Linked DNA regions of Arabidopsis thaliana. The protein of the gene in region 1 purifies or fractionates together with the protein of each later gene. This does not show direct contact. Each region holds a gene or a part of one and is shown in the gene's direction. Other genes may lie near its edges.

Region 1 (6,513 bases):
GATAAAGATCGTACTAAGTCAAATGTATTTATTTTATGGAAATTTCGAGGGGAAAAAAAATGTTACGTGATGCTTAGTTAAATTCGGAAACTACAAATTTCATATCAAGATGGTTTCTCTCGATAAAAATTCGTTACAGTGATAGTTTTAGCATACCATGCTTCGAGTTGTCGTTTTCTATATATGTTGTTTTCCTTACAACCATAACCAAATAATGAACTGATCATACAAATGAAAAGATACTTTTATAGATCGGAATATATATCGACTTAGATAACGTAAATAAAGGTACACCAATGTGATTTATAGATTATATAGTCATCAACACCATATATGAAACTTTAACAAAAAAACACCATATATGAAACTACAATTTTTTACGAACATGGTCTTACCTTTATTTTATCTTTTTTTTTCGTATAAAGAATTCCCAAACTATGAAAAAATGTCAGCTAGGTGAATAATCTAACTTTCATGGACTATTACTCAGCTAAGTTCAAAATATCCCTTCACTTCAAAACTTCTAAAAACAACTTTCATTGACTATACGCATTAATTAATTACTATTGTAATTACGACGATTTTTTTTTCGTTCTCCTCTAGCTTTTTTTAGTTTATTTGTTTTGGTCATGGTTGGGAACGGGACATCATCACATCACTTATCAACATTCTATTTGGTCCCCAACTCTATGAAGCATTATTTGAAATCATTAGCATGACTATCTAAGTTTTTTTTCTCCTGATATTTATCCAAAATTTTATTTCATTCAAATTGTTTAACAATATGTACATATACTATATGTATTATATAAAATACATATCACCACTCAGGCAATTTTTTAAACTTATATACAGTATGTGATAAAATAAACATGGTCATACGTTTAAGAATTGGAAATTAATGAGGTTGCAAGAAATCATTTAACGAGAACAGAATGAAGAGAAAGAAAAAAATAGCAACTTGGTGGCAAAAGGAAAAAGAAACAGCTTGAGATCAAAGCTGATTTGATGAATCGATACTTTGGAGATATATATGAGCATCTTCGGCAAAAGCTTTGGCCTTTGAGTGCAGTGTTACACACACGCATTTTCCAAACGAGATGATTTAAGTTTTGCAGAGCTATCACAAATATATTATAATACCAAACTCTCAGACAATATTATATAAATCGGAAGTCTAATTTTTTTTAATAAAAAATGAAAATATAGTATGACCAATGATTTGTTCATATAAGGTTCTTTTTTCGGCTATGTTAATTGTTGAGAAATGAGAATACTAAATATGCTTTTTATGAGAATACTACTTTTCGGCTATGACTAATTTTTGTTCATAAAGAACACATCTATCGTACGTGCAAATAGAATGGCCCGTACATCGTTGTCCTACCTTATACTTTAAAAGAATTTGTAATCAGAAAAAATAAAAGAAAAGAATGACAAAAAAAAGGGTAAGAATTATACTTTCGAGTTTCTTTTCTCAGACAGAAAGAATGAACGAACATACATAGTTTAACTAATGGGCTTCAGAAAAAAGCCTAATTAGTTATAAATCAAGGTCTCGTTAAAAGGCCCATTTGTTTAACAAGAAATCTCTAACTTGTTGTCCTAAGCTTAAACAATTTTTGCATCTCTCTCTCTTTCCGTCTTCATCGTCCTCCCGGCTTCTGCGATTTTGTTTAGTAGCGCCGGACCGGAGTAGTTAAAACCCTAGCCCAGTCTATTTAAAGATTCACCGAGTAGTCTTCTAGTCCTGCGTATACTTCTTCTTCTTCGTTTATACTTAGAAGATGAATTGTGCAAGTAAGGCACTCTTTCTTCTCTATTTACCGATTTAGGGTTTTATTTTGCTTTGTTTCTGTCGGTAACACTGTGGTCTTTTCTCCTCTACAGTTTCCGGCGAAGTTCCGGAGGAGCCTGTGGTTTCTAAGAAGTCGGGTTTGCTTTACGAGAAGCGGCTAATCCAGACGCATATATCCGTAAGCAAGTTCTTTTCTTTTCTCCCTCGTTCGACTCTTATCTAGGGTTTTCAGCTGTTTAGCCTCTTGCACCTCTCTATTTGCTGCAGATATTTTCTTAATACAGACTTTGTTGTGATAATTTATAGATTGCTTTTGGTACCTTGTAGGATTATGGGAAATGCCCGGTTACTGGTGAGCCACATACTCTTGATGACATTGTTCCCATCAAAACTGGGAAGGTAATGCAACCACTGGAGTTATTTGTCACACAGCATTGTTTGTAGAAACTTATTTAAGCCTGATTCGATCTCCGGGACCATTTTGCAGATCGTAAAGCCGAAACCATTACACACAGCTAGCATCCCTGGATTGCTTGGAACGTTTCAGACTGTAAGTTCTTATTTTGTATTCCCTATACCTTCTTTTTCGTTTCTGAATTTTGTTCTCTGTCTATTAAGGATCATATAGAGTTAAAATGGATGAACTTGATTTGGGTATGCATCGCTATCTGAGTTATTTAACATAGCAGATTGCATTCTACTCTTTACATTGAATTATATGTTCATTTGTTACTAATAGCAAGACGAAAGTGTTCGCTGGTTATTTTTACTTTAGGCAAAAGAAATGCTTAAAAAGTTTATCTGTTTGTTGTGCTTGTAGGAATGGGACAGTTTGATGCTATCAAATTTTGCTTTGGAACAACAACTGCATACTGCGAGGCAAGAGCTAAGTCACGCTTTGTATCAGGTAATTATGGTTAGGTGCATTTGCCACCACCTTATCAGACTACATGAATTACAAATATCTATTATGTATTCTAGTTTCTTTTCCTGGATGTTTCCATTTATTTCTTGTGATAAAAGGTGATTGATGGGGGATACACTTTTCCTTTGCAGCATGATGCTGCTTGTCGTGTGATTGCTAGGCTTAAAAAAGAAAGAGACGAATCACGACAATTGCTTGCAGAGGCTGAAAGGCAGTTGCCTGCAGCCCCCGAAGTTGCCACATCGAATGCTGCTCTTAGTAATGGTAAACGAGGTATGCTTGCACGTTTGCTTCTCAATGTAAGTTGGCTATGTGGTAATTTCTCTTATAACAAGCTACTATGTTTTTGGTTGCAATATAGGTATCGATGATGGTGAGCAGGGGCCTAATGCAAAGAAAATGCGTCTTGGAATTTCGGCTGAAGTTATCACAGAACTCACAGATTGTAATGCTGCTCTTTCTCAGCAGCGTAAAAAGAGACAGGTAACTGCATATATCAGTATATTAGTGGAAATAGAAGGCAAAAGAGAATTACATATATATATAGTTTGTCTGTAACATACAATGGATATCTGCACTTTTGGAGTTCAATTAGATTTGCGAGTGGTTCTTCTGTCTTAATAATTTCTCCTCATTGGTTCTCTAGATCCCTAAAACATTGGCTTCAGTCGATGCTCTGGAGAAGTTCACCCAACTCTCAAGCCACCCCCTTCACAAGACCAACAAACCTGGAATTTTTTCAATGGACATCCTACATTCTAAGGTTTGACACCTAAGAACTTCTCTATTTTCCATTCATCACTTTATGTAGTTTTTCTCTGTCCTGAGAAGTCACTGCATTGAACGTCATAGTGACATGTTTACTTTTGCGCTTACATTATATTGTACACTGCCATGAATCCCCATCTGGATGCTTATCAATATTATTCTTCAGTATATAGATTTTGTACACTACCATGAATCCCTGTGTCTGTTCTCTATTTAGTATTATTCTTAATTTCTCGTTATATGTGGTAATCAGGATGTCATCGCTACGGGAGGAATTGATACAACTGCCGTTCTCTTTGATCGTCCTTCAGGACAAATCTTATCAACGCTGACTGGTCACTCAAAGAAGGTCTGTCTTTTACTGTATTCTTTTTTTATATTTCATTTTCTTTTTTAACTTTTCCTTTGTAGTTTTGTGCTTGACATGCATTGTTCCTTTTGCAGGTTACAAGCATCAAGTTCGTTGGTGACACTGATCTTGTGTTAACTGCTTCATCCGACAAGGTAAGCTAAGGTTATGTGTACAAGCTCCTTTGAGGATTGCATGATTTTATGGAGTAGTAGTGAAGAGATTAACTTCTCATTTCTTAACACTCTGCAGACAGTCCGCATCTGGGGATGTTCCGAGGATGGGAACTATACCTCTAGACATACACTGAAAGATCATTCTGCCGAGGTAAGGATGTAACTGAAGAACTTCTACAGGCTACAGTCTCATACAGTTTTACGTTTTATTTATTTTTGGTCTGTTTAACGTAAAAGCAATGATGTGGTTTTCAGGTGCGAGCTGTAACTGTCCACGCAACGAATAAATACTTTGTGTCAGCATCACTTGACAGTACATGGTGCTTCTATGATCTGTCCTCCGGTTTATGCCTTGCTCAGGTCTCCAAAATTTTAATCCACACCTGATACCTGTTATCCAGTTTCAGATTTCTTCTTTTATGCTAATATAACAATGAAACATTTACCTTCTTTATTGTAATGTGAATTAGACTCGTTAGAATAAATGTTTCTGCCATGCGTCTTTCTCATTATTGTTGTTATTCAGGTGACAGATGCTTCCGAAAACGACGTGAATTACACGGCTGCTGCTTTTCATCCTGATGGTCTCATTCTTGGAACTGGTACCGCTCAATCTATTGTTAAGATTTGGGATGTAAAAAGTCAGGTAAAAACTCTTTGACCTTCCTTGCTCATCAACTGTTGTCACTTGTAAGTTTGTTCTCACTTCACTCTCATCTCTATCTCTGTCGTTTGATAGGCAAATGTGGCAAAGTTTGGTGGACACAATGGAGAAATCACCTCTATATCATTCTCTGAAAACGGTTATTTCCTTGCGGTGGGTACATTGACTGATTGACCTAAACTAAGTAGAAAGAAGGATAGCACCAGGTTCCTTTTGACTGACCAATATTTACTATTCTTTAAATTGTACAGACTGCTGCACTGGATGGTGTTAGGTTGTGGGACTTGCGCAAGTTAAAGAACTTCCGAACCTTTGACTTTCCAGATGCAAACTCGGGTATTCAACTACCTGAGCACTCTTACTAGTCTATTTTGTTGAGTGAGTTTTCATTTCTTAAGGCCTGAATGAGCTTTTTTTGTGCAGTGGAGTTTGACCATAGCGGATCTTATCTTGGCATTGCTGCTTCAGATATAAGGTGAGGTCTACTTTGATACACAATGTTGGGAATTAATTGATATAGGAGCTCACTTTGATAACGAGATATTGAAAGATAGTTGTGCAAACTCAATTAACCTGCTATCACCAGAAATGCAGTTTGGGTATATGTATACGTTTCTTCTGCAAATCATACTAATCGAAAACTTGTGCTTCAATGTTGTAGAGTATTCCAAGCAGCTAGTGTAAAAGCAGAATGGAACCCAATCAAGACTCTTCCCGATCTGTCCGGTACAGGTAAATGCTACATGTTAAGCTTTTGAAGTCACTGCTCTTCCTTGTTTTATTGAGTCTATCATTCAGACATTGTAACTACATAAATGTGCAGGTAAAGCAACAAGTGTTAAGTTTGGACTCGACTCCAAATACATAGCAGTCGGTTCAATGGACCGTAATCTCAGGATATTTGGTTTACCTGATGATGACAATACTGAAGATTCAGCACAAGATTCATGAAGAGATATCTCAAAAGTCTCATCATCAAGAGTAGCTATATCCTCAATTCTCGCGATTTTTGTTGTATCTTTACAGTTCTGTTGGTACTTTCCTGATGGCCCCTCTCACAATCACATATACACACCTGAGCTCTCTCCCTTTCTTTCTCAGTCAACAATTTTCCTGTAACAACATCGTACCTTAAGGATCTGCAGTTGATCTTTCTCTCTTTGATCTGAAAGAGTCCACATAAAACAAAGTTAGCTGCTCACTATAAAAGCAAATGAAGAACAGGCATGTAAATGATCTTCTTCATCATTCAAATCAGTAGGACCTAAACGGCAACAATTAAAAAACTTGTGTTATATAGAAAGGGTCATGAATCTTGAAGACAATGAAATGAAGACAAAAAGATTGTGATGGTGGTCATAGAAATTAGAAAACCCTGAGACAGACAGAGATTTTGACTGTACTGTGGTCAAAACACACACTTCACAATCTTCCCATTCCCCCACCAATCTCAGATTCCTTTTCACTTCCTCCAACTCTTTCTCTCTCTCTGGCCTTTTTTTTTTTTTTTTTTCCTATTTATAGCTCATCTTTAGTAATTCCGTTATTGGTTAAATTTCCTAAACATGTTTTTGGTATCAACAATCAAGTAAGTGCAAGAAAGTTTGTATCTTTCTCTAAACCCAATTTCCAAAGTAACCAACTACTAAACCAGAATGTTACACAAAGTAAGTCACTAAATGACTTTAAAAACAAGATTAGACTTTAAACTAGATTAGAGACATACTTATTTGGAATAAGATTCAAAGGTCACTAGTAGCTAGTAGGTGGTAAAAAGGAAGCTAAACAACAAATAAACTCTTATTAAAATCTTTCAATCAATAAATATTTATT
Region 2 (6,309 bases), 1.9 Mb from region 1:
CATCATGGAAATGAAATACAGAAATTACTATCAACCACACAGCGTTGACCTACTTATTATAAAGACAACAAAACAGTGAATATGTTTGGTCCTATATAATTTCCAGTTTCGCACCTTGATAGCTAATATTTGCTCCGCTGTTGGCGCCACCACTTTCGGAGTCTCTGGATTTTCTGCAGTTTCTGACACTTTTTTAACCTCCTCCCGAGAAACCTTTTTAACTTCCTCTTCTGCTTCTTTGGATGAAAACAAAGATGCAGCTTCAGCTCTCTCCTGTTAGGAACCAATAATGTCAGGTAAAAGGTCTTGCTATAACCATTGTAAAATTTAGATATACAACAGTGGGCTAAAGGATAAAGCCAAACTATTATCCGATCCAAGGCTACAAGGTTATAACACGAGGAAATTAAATAAAAACACCACACCCTACATCAAGTCTGGTTTATATTTATGCCCTAAATACAAAAAACTTTAAGATAATCAGGCAACCAAGTCATCAAGACCCAAACTATATATACTTTAAGCAAACCCTTTTAGCTAAATGTTGTTAATATTAGTGAAATTTCTTATTTCAGCATACAGATATAACTGTGCACAAGAATCTTAAACAACGTAAGACAAAAGGCAGACCAATTTCTTGCTCTCAGATATTCTATTTTTCAGATGATATTAAGGTTAGCTCCCGGTGACTTGTAGCATATAAAATAACATTAAGTTGGCATCTAGGGTAAGCAAAAATGAACAGTTGATAAAGCATATGATAAGGTCCTTACCTTGGCTTTGATTTTAATGAAATCCAGTACTCGAAGTGATTTTAGCTTGTGAATCACATAAAGGCGATAATTTGCCTTTTTGGTGATATTATTATCCAACAAACTAAGGTACTGCAGCTTGGGAATGGAGGCAAGGGGATCAATCTCAACCAAATTCACAAGCCTGTTATTTGTAAGAACCAAAGAGTGAAGCTTCGGTAGGAATTCTGCAGATGTACAACCATACGATAAATACAACACAGGTAACCAACAAAGCAAACAATGTGTTTGAATTGACATTTCTTACAACACACAGATAGATGTTACCTCCAAGGTTAGGATTTATCCGGGTGATACGATTGTTATTGATGAGTAAAGTTCCTAAACGGTTGAGGTATGGGAAGTTTTCTAGCTTAACTATCTCGTTATCAGACAGATCAATGGTATCGAACTGGTCCTGTAAGCAAACCAAGACAAGTTAATTAGAGAACCTCAAACCTGCAAATAATCTACCTAAGCCAAACACAAAATTTATGGGAGGCCTTTCTTAGAGAAGACTGGCTCTCAAAAGTAAAGAATCCACAGTAAGAAAAAGGTACTATTACACGAAGCCACATATACTCCTAAAGAGCTAGAAAACAGATACTAACTAAGACAAAGGAGCAATAGCTACTTCAACAATGTTTCTGTCAATGATTTTCAAAATACTTGAATGCCGAAACCCAACAGGCAGACTTAAGAACATACAATACAACCGCATCAACAAATTCTTCAGCTAACAGACAAAGAGGAAACGAAAATCGATAGAAAAAAGAAATACCTCAGTAGCACCCAAGTTTTCGATTACAGGAATCTTGTTACCTGCAACAAATTAACCCAGAAAAACGAACGATTAACCAGAGCAGGTGCGTTTAGGGTTACAAAACCCTAGAAAATGTAATGGGAAAGAGAAGAAGTGTACCTCGTAGATCCAATTCTCGCTCCTTGATAGCATTGAAGAAGTGAGGACTTTTCCAGATCAAATCAGCCGTGAGCTTCACCATTATTCTACTAGGGTTTTACTGCTTCGTCGAGCTCTGTCGCTGCTAAGCATTCAGAGGAAAGAGACAACAACAGTGGCTAGAGATGACATAAAAACGCAGCAAAATGACCTTTGCTATTAATTTATCACTTAAATAAACGGCCCATTGAATTGGCCCAGTCGGTTAGGCCCATAAGTGTATCCCGATATTTATGATTTTGGAAATTAAAAAGAAAAAACAAATAAAAAGAAAAGGACTAGTGAACGATTGAATCTTTTCTTCTTCGTTGGTTCCAACCCTAATCTAGGGTTACTCTCTCTCTCGCTTCCTTCTGTTCTTCGTTCTTACCGAGTTCCACGAGCATTAGCTTCAGAGACCTTGAATTGGAGTGCGGTTGGATCAAAAACAGTTGAGCGAAGATGAGGATTATGATTAAGGGAGGTGTTTGGAAGAACACCGAAGATGAGATTCTCAAAGCCGCCGTGATGAAGTATGGTAAGAACCAATGGGCTCGGATCTCGTCTCTTCTCGTTCGTAAGTCTGCTAAACAGTGTAAAGCTCGCTGGTACGAGTGGCTCGATCCATCTATCAAAAAGGTAAGTCGTGTTCGCGTTTTCCTTCTCTTAACTAGTAGTGTTCGAAAAAAAACTATGGATCTGGCGAACATTTTTTTGTTTGGGGATTTGGCCTTTTAGGTAGTTTGTTAGCTTGTTACTAGGTGCTTTAGTTGTATATATGTATTGATTTGCATCTGGAAATTCATAGAAAGTGTAGGCAGTAATGCTAGGAGTTTTGGAGTATTCGAAGGTTTTCTTATGTTTTTGAATTACAACTGAGTTTAATTTTGTGATGTTAATGTAGACTGAATGGACCAGAGAAGAAGATGAGAAGCTTCTACATCTTGCTAAACTTCTGCCTACTCAATGGAGAACTATTGCTCCTATTGTGGGTCGTACACCATCTCAATGTCTTGAGAGGTATGAGAAGCTCCTTGATGCAGCATGCACTAAGGATGAAAATTATGATGCAGCGGATGATCCACGAAAATTACGTCCTGGTGAGATTGATCCGAACCCAGAAGCAAAGCCTGCTCGTCCTGATCCGGTAGACATGGACGAAGATGAGAAAGAAATGCTTTCTGAAGCAAGAGCTAGATTGGCTAACACGAGGGGAAAGAAGGCTAAAAGAAAAGCTAGAGAAAAACAACTTGAGGAAGCTAGAAGGCTTGCTTCTCTGCAAAAAAGAAGAGAACTAAAAGCAGCTGGGATTGATGGAAGGCATAGGAAAAGAAAGAGAAAGGGAATCGACTATAATGCAGAAATTCCTTTTGAAAAGAGGGCACCTGCGGGATTTTATGATACTGCGGATGAAGATCGTCCTGCTGATCAAGTAAAATTTCCAACTACCATTGAAGAACTTGAAGGAAAAAGAAGAGCTGATGTAGAAGCACATTTACGCAAACAAGATGTTGCAAGGAATAAAATTGCTCAGAGACAGGATGCTCCAGCAGCTATATTGCAAGCAAACAAGCTGAATGATCCGGAAGTTGTTAGGAAGAGGTCAAAGCTGATGTTACCACCACCGCAGATTTCAGACCACGAGCTAGAAGAAATTGCTAAGATGGGCTATGCCAGTGACCTTCTTGCCGAGAATGAGGAGCTAACAGAAGGCAGTGCTGCTACTCGTGCACTTTTGGCAAATTACTCACAAACACCAAGGCAAGGAATGACACCCATGAGGACACCTCAAAGAACTCCTGCTGGTAAAGGTGATGCTATTATGATGGAAGCAGAAAACCTGGCCAGATTAAGAGACTCTCAGACACCTTTGCTAGGAGGAGAAAATCCTGAGTTGCACCCTTCTGACTTCACTGGGGTCACTCCGAGAAAGAAGGAGATTCAAACGCCTAATCCAATGTTGACCCCTTCAATGACTCCTGGTGGTGCTGGTCTTACTCCAAGAATTGGCTTGACGCCATCAAGGGATGGGTCTTCTTTTTCTATGACACCCAAAGGGACTCCCTTCAGGGATGAACTTCACATTAACGAAGACATGGACATGCACGAAAGTGCAAAACTTGAGAGGCAGAGACGAGAGGAAGCTAGAAGGAGTTTACGCTCTGGTTTGACTGGGCTTCCTCAGCCAAAGAACGAGTACCAAATAGTTGCACAACCTCCTCCTGAGGAAAGTGAAGAGCCAGAAGAGAAAATTGAGGAAGACATGTCAGACAGGATAGCGAGGGAAAAGGCGGAGGAAGAAGCAAGACAACAGGCATTGCTTAAGAAGAGATCCAAGGTCTTGCAGAGAGATCTTCCTAGACCCCCAGCTGCTTCATTGGCAGTAATTAGGAACTCGTTGCTTTCAGCTGATGGAGACAAAAGTTCTGTTGTTCCTCCTACTCCGATTGAGGTTGCAGATAAAATGGTAAGAGAGGAGCTTCTACAGTTGCTGGAGCATGATAATGCAAAGTATCCGCTTGATGACAAAGCTGAGAAGAAGAAAGGAGCCAAGAACCGTACCAACCGTTCTGCTTCTCAAGTTCTTGCAATTGACGATTTTGATGAAAATGAGCTCCAAGAGGTATGTAGATGAAAATATCTATCCAATTTCAGTTTACTTTTGTTTTGTTTTTTGGTTGATTAATTCGTTGGCCAGCTTCTGGAATCCTTAGTTCTCTCTTGGTTTAGGCTAGATTGTTTGATTGATAATTTTTGCATGAATGTTAATCCCTCCTTAATTATCAACATCTGTAATTAATTTGGTATACACTAGGGAGTTTTGAATGAAGGTTGTTGCTTATGATTTTTGGTAGGCTGACAAAATGATAAAGGAGGAGGGGAAGTTTCTGTGTGTGTCAATGGGACATGAGAACAAGACACTTGATGATTTTGTAGAAGCTCACAACACATGCGTGAATGATCTCATGTATTTCCCCACTCGAAGCGCTTACGAGCTCTCAAGTGTTGCTGGGAACGCGGACAAAGTTGCAGCTTTTCAGGAGGAGATGGAGAATGTGAGAAAAAAGATGGAGGAGGATGAGAAGAAGGCAGAACACATGAAGGCCAAGTACAAAACTTATACAAAGGGTCATGAGGTAACATATAGTCCACATTGCCTTAAATGTTAATTCTGAAACTATATTTTGTTTGGTGTCAATGTTTAACGGATTTGTACATTTGACAGAGGAGGGCAGAGACCGTGTGGACCCAAATAGAGGCGACATTGAAGCAGGCTGAGATTGGTGGAACAGAAGTAGAGTGCTTTAAAGCATTGAAGAGGCAAGAAGAGATGGCTGCATCTTTTAGGAAAAAGAATTTGCAAGAGGAAGTGATAAAGCAAAAGGAAACAGAGAGTAAACTGCAGACTCGCTATGGGAATATGTTGGCAATGGTTGAAAAAGCAGAGGAGATAATGGTCGGTTTCCGAGCACAGGCATTGAAGAAACAAGAGGATGTTGAAGATTCTCACAAACTGAAAGAAGCTAAGCTAGCCACTGGAGAGGAAGAGGACATAGCCATAGCCATGGAAGCTTCTGCATAAAAACTTGAGTTTTGTATTGCTTACAAGTTTTAAGGAGACGTAGCTTGACTTTGTATTGGTAAGTTTTTTTAATATGAGTCATGACTTTGTAAAAAGGTTATGATATATTCTCTGTTTGTATGCTTTGCAAGAGTCAAGAAATTTGAATGCTTCAGGATCTATTTGGTTCCAAATGTAAGTACAATCTGAAGATGTTTAATCCTCCTCTCTTTCAATGCAAATTTTATCCTTGGCTAGAAGAGATCGTATGGGAGAGAAAGAAAAAAGCTTGCATATCATTCAAGATGGAATTTCAATGTTTTTGGCCTAAAGCCAAAATCAAAAATACAAGTAGTCTGTGTGTAAACTCTTATTATTAGAAAAGCAACAAAAGATAACTAGAGAGTTTCAGCCCTCTCTTCAAAAACTGATAAGGCTCTCAATTCTTCTACTCCACTACTTCAATCAGGGTGGGCTCATAGTCAGAGGGAGCCACAAATCCATGGAGGTTCATCACTGTTGCAGCTACATTTGCAAGCCCCGGTGTTTCCAGATCTTTACGGAATCTCACTCCTTGAGCCAAACCAGGACCTCCAATAGCAATTGGCACCTACAAACAATAATTACAATCTCCCATCAGATATGGTCCAATGGTTTATGTTATGGTAATAACACAGATTACAGATATGGACTTACTGGCTTGAGTGTGTGAGAGGTTAGAATCTGAAGCTTCCCTTCCTTATCCAAAGCAGGCTTGCCAGATTTATCCCTCTTCACCATGTCCTCTGCGTTTCCGTGATCAGCAGTCACAACATAAATTCCTTTCACTTGTTCGATTGCATCAAAAATCATCTGCAACAACCAAACCATTTGTGGGCTAAGTCACACACTCACACATATCATCATTAAGACTTGTCAATAAACTTATAAAACATACCTTCACAGCAAGATCAGCAGCCTCGCATGCAACAACCGTGGCTTCAATATCACCTGTATGACCCACCATATCTCCATTT

Evidence for each region. The genes of interacting proteins can lie anywhere in the genome.
Region 2: the proteins of MAC3A (region 1) and CDC5 purify together in Arabidopsis thaliana (affinity purification with western blotting; 2 studies listed by BioGRID, with this or other methods). This does not show direct contact.

What each region holds. Positions count from the first base shown.
Region 1 is NC_003070.9:1,224,962-1,231,474, forward strand, and holds MAC3A (MOS4-associated complex 3A), read left to right. Parts: upstream 1-1,521; 5' UTR 1,522-1,787; coding exon 1,788-1,800; intron 1,801-1,890; coding exon 1,891-1,976; intron 1,977-2,125; coding exon 2,126-2,197; intron 2,198-2,285; coding exon 2,286-2,348; intron 2,349-2,618; coding exon 2,619-2,705; intron 2,706-2,854; coding exon 2,855-2,996; intron 2,997-3,084; coding exon 3,085-3,206; intron 3,207-3,369; coding exon 3,370-3,486; intron 3,487-3,744; coding exon 3,745-3,840; intron 3,841-3,935; coding exon 3,936-3,995; intron 3,996-4,092; coding exon 4,093-4,167; intron 4,168-4,271; coding exon 4,272-4,376; intron 4,377-4,542; coding exon 4,543-4,662; intron 4,663-4,755; coding exon 4,756-4,833; intron 4,834-4,931; coding exon 4,932-5,016; intron 5,017-5,103; coding exon 5,104-5,155; intron 5,156-5,341; coding exon 5,342-5,412; coding exon of another isoform or gene 5,413-5,418; intron 5,419-5,503; coding exon 5,504-5,631; 3' UTR 5,632-5,986; downstream 5,987-6,513.
Region 2 is NC_003070.9:3,159,809-3,166,117, forward strand, and holds CDC5 (cell division cycle 5), read left to right. Parts: upstream 1-2,023; 5' UTR 2,024-2,193; coding exon 2,194-2,370; intron 2,371-2,635; coding exon 2,636-4,354; intron 4,355-4,586; coding exon 4,587-4,868; intron 4,869-4,957; coding exon 4,958-5,314; 3' UTR 5,315-5,741; downstream 5,742-6,309. Other genes in the region: U2A' (U2 small nuclear ribonucleoprotein A), read right to left, coding at 115-273, 774-979, 1,080-1,209, 1,573-1,613, 1,714-1,795; iPGAM1 (Phosphoglycerate mutase, 2,3-bisphosphoglycerate-independent), read right to left, coding at 5,742-5,903, 5,990-6,145, 6,231-6,309. UniProt on the Arabidopsis thaliana protein: Component of the MAC complex that probably regulates defense responses through transcriptional control and thereby is essential for plant innate immunity. Possesses a sequence specific DNA sequence 'CTCAGCG' binding activity.